Linked DNA regions of Caenorhabditis elegans. The protein of the gene in region 1 purifies or fractionates together with the protein of each later gene. This does not show direct contact. Each region holds a gene or a part of one and is shown in the gene's direction. Other genes may lie near its edges. The genes, in order: znfx-1 and csr-1.

The links.
Region 2: the proteins of znfx-1 (region 1) and csr-1 purify together in Caenorhabditis elegans (affinity purification with western blotting, with the first as the bait; one study listed by BioGRID). This does not show direct contact.

Annotation. Positions count from the first base shown.
Region 1 is NC_003280.10:9,211,875-9,216,017, forward strand, and holds the start of znfx-1 (NFX1-type zinc finger-containing protein 1 homolog), read left to right. Parts: upstream 1-1,827; coding exon 1,828-1,994; intron 1,995-2,041; coding exon 2,042-2,247; intron 2,248-2,296; coding exon 2,297-2,411; intron 2,412-2,455; coding exon 2,456-2,542; intron 2,543-2,592; coding exon 2,593-2,688; intron 2,689-3,338; coding exon 3,339-3,777; intron 3,778-3,888; coding exon 3,889-4,143. Other genes in the region: ZK1067.4 (Transmembrane protein 151 homolog), read left to right, coding at 297-447, 529-924, 968-1,150. UniProt on the Caenorhabditis elegans protein: Epigenetic inheritance factor which, in association with the Argonaute protein wago-4, mediates small RNA-directed transgenerational epigenetic inheritance and thus balances the transgenerational inheritance of epigenetic information.
Region 2 is NC_003282.8:7,955,588-7,959,187, forward strand, and holds the start of csr-1 (Piwi domain-containing protein), read left to right. Parts: upstream 1-1,679; 5' UTR 1,680-1,748; intron 1,749-1,986; 5' UTR 1,987-1,992; coding exon 1,993-2,467; intron 2,468-3,011; coding exon 3,012-3,171; intron 3,172-3,212; coding exon 3,213-3,366; intron 3,367-3,409; coding exon 3,410-3,600. Other genes in the region: Homeobox protein ceh-19, read right to left, coding at 1-218.

The DNA of each region.
Region 1 (4,143 bases):
GAGCTATCGACTGCACGCCGTTTTCCTCTGTTGAGAGAAAAGACCTGGCGGGAACAGAAAGTGTCAGTCATATAGAGCATTTTCATATGCGAAGTGTATAAAATTTATATTTCTACAAGAAGTTGCCTAAAATAGCCACAAAAATAGTGTTTTCGAATTTTCTTCAATAAAGGGATGTGGCTCAAAAACGTTGAGTTCCATCAATCATTAGGCATTTGGCAGGAAGAAAAGATTAGCTACAGCAAAAAAAGATAGAAAAGTAGTATAAGTATTTATTTTTCAAATACATTTTCCAGTCCGAATTCGGTCAACTACACGGGGCCATTAACCAGAACATCAACTATGGATACTGTTGAGTTGGAGGCATTGTTGAGGAGAGAACAACATTTCGTTGTACCATCGTACAGTGAAGTTATGCTCATGCAAAATACGATTGCTAATTCAAATGTAAGGTTTTTTTTAAATATTAAAATTTTAAGATCATTTGCTCCTGATAAATATTTATTAATCGCTCTGATAATATTGTAGACCAATTATCCAAATATTCGATGCCTGGACCCTGTGATTCTTCCACGACCATTCGTGAGTACAACTAACGAACATATCGTACTTCGGAACTATGGAGCAACAGAAACCGACAATTCACTATCTGAGCCCATTACAGCAACGCCGAGACCTCTTAGAGTTAGCCGAAGTATGACATTTGCTGCTCAAGGAAATCTCGAAGAATCAGCTGAGAATCTGAGTTGTTTAGAAAACGGAAGTAGAGCAAATCGTGCTATTCCATCGAGTCGGCGGAATTTGCCGTTACGTTCGTTATCGATAGGTGGTATTTCTGCTTGGTCCAATGGTTACAGAGAAATTGGAAATCCTGATGATTCACAACTACTCATTGAACCAGATGAACCACCTCCACCATATGAGGTCGGTTTTCAATTTATAATGGAAATGACAATTTATTTCTCAGGTTGCTCTCAGAATGTGTGCTCCATTATATGAACGCCTACGACGATCAATATCTTCACGATTGGCTTCAATTTCTCACTCGAGCTCGAAGGATTTGAAGTCGCTAACTTTGAAAAGTAGTTCTAGTAACAATAATAACAATAATTCAAACAACAATAATAACGATGATCCAGAACATCCATAAAATCGGGTATTTTTTCACATGCGGACCAATTTTAAGAATTGTTAAACGTTGGTGCTTGAAATAAATAATTTTTCTGATTTTTTTTTATTTTCAAGTTTAAAAAAATTGTGTTTCAAGTTATTCGATTAAAAGCGTTGTTTTTATTGCCTTATTAAATGGTAAAAAGCAATCAATTTTTAAAGGAGCGTCCACTGAATACGAGGAGATGGTCTCGGCACGAAATATAAAAAACTACAGTACCCTTGGAAGTATTGGCGCGGAAATTTTTTTTTATTCAGTTATTTATCTGTTCAGTTTTCGTATTTTTGATGTTAAAACTCCATTTTTCTCTTCAAAATTTGTATTAAAAATCACTGGGCAACGCATTTTCACTATTACAGAAGTATTTTTGATGAAATCTTCAAGAAATTCACATGTTTCTTTGTTTAAAATTTTAGGATTTGACGGTTTCGGTTTTTAGGCCAAAAAACTCCGTTACCAGTTTTAATTTCGTTCTGATTCCGTGAGGCAATGCTTCACTAATCACATTTTTCACGAAATACAAAGTCTTGCTTGAAAATTTAACAAAAAACTCCAATACTCTCGCAAAATCTTGAATATGGCCATTTTATTTGATGTAATTATTTCTTTTACAGATAAATACTTCAAACCAACCAATCCATCTATCTGACAAGCTAATGTCCAGAGATAAACCACCTCAACGTGAGGTTGGCGGACGTCGGTTGCCCTACGAAATGGGTTCGTTGAAGTTCGACGAAGACCCGTTCCGCGGACAGCGCCGGCGTCCGTGGATGTGCTTCAGAATCGGCTATCCGACAAGCGAGTTCTCATCAGAGCACTTCATGTACGTTCAAATTATTCAAAAATTATTGAAAAAACGTATTGTTTCAGGAAATTCGTGAAAAGGTGTCACACTTCGATGATAGAAGTAGGTATTCTTCTCGATGATGAACGGGAATTCCTGCAATATCAAGAAGTCAGGGAAGATTATCTTCTTCTGAAAAAGCTCATCGAGGAAGGTCTGCAGAAGTGTGAAACGATCTATGAAAAAGGACCGCTGTCGACTCCGGTTGTTTTTTTCATTTTAGACCAGTGCGGTAAGAAAAGTAAATTATACATAACGTGTATAAATATTCACTCATACAGACGAAGACGAAGTCCAAAACATGCTGGATATGTTTAGGGAGTCTTGTTATATCTTCCATATGAAACGCAACGAAATTCTCAACTGGATCAACGAAATGGAGTATGAAGAACTGGAGTGAGTAAATGTTCAGCATAACGTCGAAAAAATTCATATTTCAGAAGTGACTGCTCTAAATTTGCACAGTTCATCAAAGGAGTGGAAAATCTGACGGAATCCATCGCGATGCCCATGGAGGTAGAAACAGAGTAGGCTATCTAGAAGGAAAAAATAATTAAAAAACATCTAACTTTCATAGAGAATTCATCTTTGGAAAGAGTTCGATTGTATCGACCGAAGACTTTGTTGAAGACGCCCCTCACAAGCAGATCGCACAAGATCAACGCGAAACAAGGTATCGTTACCATGTTGTAAACTTTCTATTCAAAAATTTTGCAATATCTCTTCGTTCATATTAGACTTATGGCCTAGCTATTTCTTTCTTTTTCCACACGTCCAACATAGATAGACAGTTCGAGACGTAGAGAAAAACAGAAAAACCGTGACTAGTTGCTTCCCCTGTGATTGATATGCTTTTTTTTCACAAATTCGAAAAAAATAATCTGAATAAGCATGTTTTCACATCAGAATTTGTTAAACAGTGTGTTTGGAAATACTGAAATATTCCCTTGACTCGCAGGATTTAACGAATAATTATTTCAAAATTTTCGATTGTTTTTCTCAATAACATCAATAATTTTTCCTGAATTCCTGATATTGCTTTTAAAAATATATAATAGAATTGGTGACCTTTGTTAAATCATTGATAATCGCAGTGGCTTTTGTTTTTATTCTCGTTTCATAAACAACGTGAATCGTGGTAGCGGAAAAAAAACCACATTTATCGTGTTCCCATCTTTCCCCAGAAACCTGGCCGCGTTCCTTTTCACTGTAGTAAACGCGGATTTTTGTGGGCATACTGATTTCGTTAGAAAATACTTTTTCTTAAAATGCTAGAGCTCTCCGCGTTCTCTCATAATGTATAATTAAATTATCTTGTTTCAGACCAATTCGCCAACCGTATTCAATGGTCAGAAACCTCGCCCCCCCAGGGCTCCCGCCGCCTGGAATTTCGATTTCAAACAGTTCGCCTCCTGGATTATCTTCAGTTTCGCCAATTCCCCGAGCAGATACACGCGAATCCCGTTATTCCACCCCTCAACCACCCGGATTGTCAATTCCAGCACCACCTGGAATATCTCTTCCAACTCCACCAGGAATATCTCTTCAAAATCATCAGAATGATCAATTCGAGCAAGCTCATAGTACCATTTCGAGAATGAGCGAGAATAGTTCATCTTCGAGGCGTCGATTCCGCGATGAAGAAGTTCAGGAAGAAGAAGGAGATCATATTCTATCGTCTGAAGATGTACATGCTGCGCGGAACGTGTGTGAAACCAAAATCCTTGTTAGAGGAGTTCCGCAAAAGAACGATTCTGAGTTGGTAAGATCTATTCATTTTTGTGATAAACTGCAACCTGTGAGTTATTTCGGCAATTTCCGGAAAACTAATCTTCAATAAACACGAAATTAATATTAAAATTTTAATTTTCAGTCCAAGCTCATCAACGGATCAAAACTATACGTACGGTTCGAACGTCCGTTTGTAAAACTAGCTCACAATCTAGAACTTCTCTACGTTGTCAATTATGCTATCAGTTCTCGAAAAAGTATTGTTCGGGATCACAGTAAAGCAATTATTCGCGGATTGTTCGAAAAGGATTTTCTACTGAAGCTCAAAAGTAAATTCCTGGAAAGCTCGTTTGACAATGACACGTGGACTCCCGAGGGTACAGAATTGCTATTCGAA
Region 2 (3,600 bases), on another chromosome or scaffold:
TGTAACTCAACAAGAGTTGGTGTTCTCAGATCATTTGCAATAGCAAACATTGCCAATTGGCTTGTTGCCATATTTGTCCAACCATCAATTACATTTTTTTCTTCTTCCTCTTCGTCTTCTTCACCGTTTTTTTCGCTGTCGTTTTCTTCCTCAAAATCATTACCTTCTTCAACTGGATTAGATTTTTTCTCCAGTAAACTTTCAATATTGAAAGCCATTTTTCAATAGTTTTTATTTAAAAGACTTTAAGAAAATGTAGAGTTGAGAAGTTGCCAATATATATGACGATTAGGAATTAGATTGAGAATGAGAGCCTTTTCGGCTTCAGGTTTTGATTTATATTAGGAACCCGTGGGAAAGTTATGCGACAGGTGAGCTCTGAGTCTCTCTCCACCAATACACTCTTTCTTCAACCGCCCATGCTTGTAATCATTCTATGACAAACACTGAAATTTGAGTATTTTTGTTGAGGCAAGGTAATTGAGATTATTAATGGAATTGAAATTAGATTCTTTTGAGAAAATCAGAGAAAACCTTCCTAAGAAAATTCAGCTATATAGCTCGGCTACAGTAACCCCAAAAAAAGTAATTAACAAATGGGAAAGTGAGCATTGAAAATATTGGAAAATTGTCAAAATAATAGTGTTTTTTCCACGATTTGTTATCGTTTATCGTGAGATTTTGAATTTTCGGTTCTTTGTTATCACTTTTTTCATAGAAATATGAATATTTTTGAGCACACAAGGCATTCTCCAGGAGAATTATGAAACTGTGGATTATTTTTGGGAACGGACAGTTGAAGGTTTTCGCAAATTTAAACAAGTCTAAAACTTTTTACTTTTATTAATATAGTAATGAACTGTATTTTTACATGAAATGATTACGTTAACGGGACTCCAACTCATAAATCAAAAACACATTTTAACAGACAAAATATTTTATTGTCTACATGTTTGCTGTTAACAAAATTTTATCAAATCAATTGTGTAAGCAGATTTTTTATTTTGAATTTTTGTCTTTAATTCAAGAACTAGAAACTTTCTTGATACAAATTTAAATAGTGCATTGTTCTAGTTGAATTATCTACATTTTTCAAAATACCGCTAATCACTAATTATCGGTATGAATGTTCAAACTTTTGTATCTCTGATTACGGTTATCGTCCTAGTTCCAAATAACTAGATACATTTTCCAAAATCAAACATTTTTTTTTGATGCATAAACAGTTATGAATCATCTTTATTGCAGACGTGATCATGCCATTTCACCCCATTTTTATTGGTTTTCCAATGTTTATGGGAACAAAGAGCTTTTATTTATTTTCCTCTTTCTCTGATAATTTCATGAATAAGATTTGAATTTTTATTTTCATTGTATTCATATTTTCGAGTGTTCGGTAAGAATATCCTTTAAAAACATATTTTGGAAATTCTGTTTTCAAAATTATTTTTAGCCTTGATTCAATTTTAGTTTAAAAATTGTATGCTACAGTATTTATTGCTACAGTACTCATTCTCAGGATTTAGTGCTCCAGTAATAATTGTGATAACTTTCACCACGCGTAAAATATATTAAAAAAGTGTTGACCTTTGTCACGGTAAACGGCCAAAAAGCCACGTTTTTCAAGGTCAGCATACGTGGTGTTTTGTCAGGTTTCAAGTTTAGTTTATTCTATCGTTTTAGCTCCAAAATTGAAGCGAGACTTTCCTGTTTTTCGCAAGAATTGTTAGAGTTCTTATACTTTGAAGGTTTGTGTGATGCTTTTAAGGTTTTAAATTTGACTTAACTGTTTTCCAAATCTGAATAAATAGGTCTTCAAAAGTTTTTTTCTTTTTTCGAAAATCCTTCTTTTTTCTCTCAATCAATTGAAATCAGCTTTCGATATTTGTGTACCTCAAAATTTGCGGATAATAAACAACTGTCATCCTCAAAATTTCACAAAAATAATAATATTACATTTCTTGATTAATTTATCAATATTTTCAGGTTAGAATGCAGTCGGATAATGTCGGTCGTGGCCGTGGAAGCCGTGGTGGTTCTCGTGGAGGTAGTGGACGTGGTAGAGGACGTGGAGGATACGGAGACTCGTATCGTCCGGATTTAGAAACGAGAGAAACCCATGTAACGTATCAAGGCAAGGTAAAGTATGAAGGAGGAGACCGTCATGATTTCAACTATGAGAAGACGCCAACTGGAAGTTATCGTGGCTCGCATCGAGATGGTCAGGAAGGATCGAGAGGCAACCGCGGATCATTCAGAGGTGGACGAGGAGGTTACGACAGAAGACGTGATGATGAAGAATCAAAAGCAGAAAATCGTTTTGGAGGGTACAATCGGGGAGCAAATGGCGGAAACTATCGCGGGAGAACTGGCGGGAGCGGCAGAGGTGGATCGACCCAAACCACTACCGTGGATCCTAAATATAATGGATTGATCTTGGAAAATTCAGCAGAGCCAAAGCTTAAAGGTGAGTATTATTTGAGTATTATTTTGTATTTAAATAGCGACTGATTTTTAAATTAATTTTTGATCTCGCACCTGTGATTTTTCGGGGAACGAACCGAAATAATTTCGATCTCGGGCGGGAAATTGTTTTTCGAGATTTAAAAAAAATCTTCCCACCAACAAAGAAATACCAATGCGGAGGCACATAACAAACAATTTTGAGAAATCAGTAATTTGATAAAATAGAAGACTGAATAGTTATGAAATCAATAAAAGCTAACGAAATCAACATATTTTCTTTTTTTAGCATATTTAAAAATTGTTTCATCTGATCAAAACATTGAACAAAGGGTGGTGCGCGCTCTCTCACATGGATACGGTAGATGAAAAGTGTGCGACTTCGCGTCAGGTGTGATCACAATCTTCTAGAATTTTCGCATTCCCAAAAACTTGAAATTTAGGCCTTTCTCTGCGTTTAGTTGATCGTTTCTTTCCCGTTCTTATTTTGAATTTTGATATCATTGCTTTTATTTTTTAAATAATAATTTGAACTATACTTTTTTCAGGACTTAACTCTGACATGAATCAGAAGCAAAATCCAAGACTTGCCCTGAACATCTTCGGGCTTGAGCTCTCTGAGCGAACGATTTTCCGGCATGTTGTGCAAATGAAGCTCATCGATCGTCAGCACAATAAGGAGTATATTCTTACAACAATGAGTGCCAGGTGAGTGTACTGTTCGTTTAAAATTTACACTTTTATTTCAGAGGACGTGGAAACCGTGCAACAAAGCAAAAAGATAACTTTATTCTTCTTGACATCCTACTCAAACAGTGGGCCGCGAAGAAGGGTCAGCAGAATCTTCCTGCATTCGCGTACGACGGTGCACAGTCTTTATTCACTTTGGAGGGAATCAGCTTGGTATGATTTCATTTTTTTTTCTTTCTTGTATTTGGGTTTATAGATGGTCGATATCAAGAAAGAAGATGCTCTCGAAATCCCGGAACTTTCCAATTTTCTGAAGGATTCCATCTCGTTCCTCAGCGGCGATTTGGAGATCTCTTGTGAACCGGATCTCGAGAAACCGTCATTCGTTCAGACGGAGCTTAACGAATGGAGTGATCCAAGATTCTACGCTTATTTGGATATTGTGAC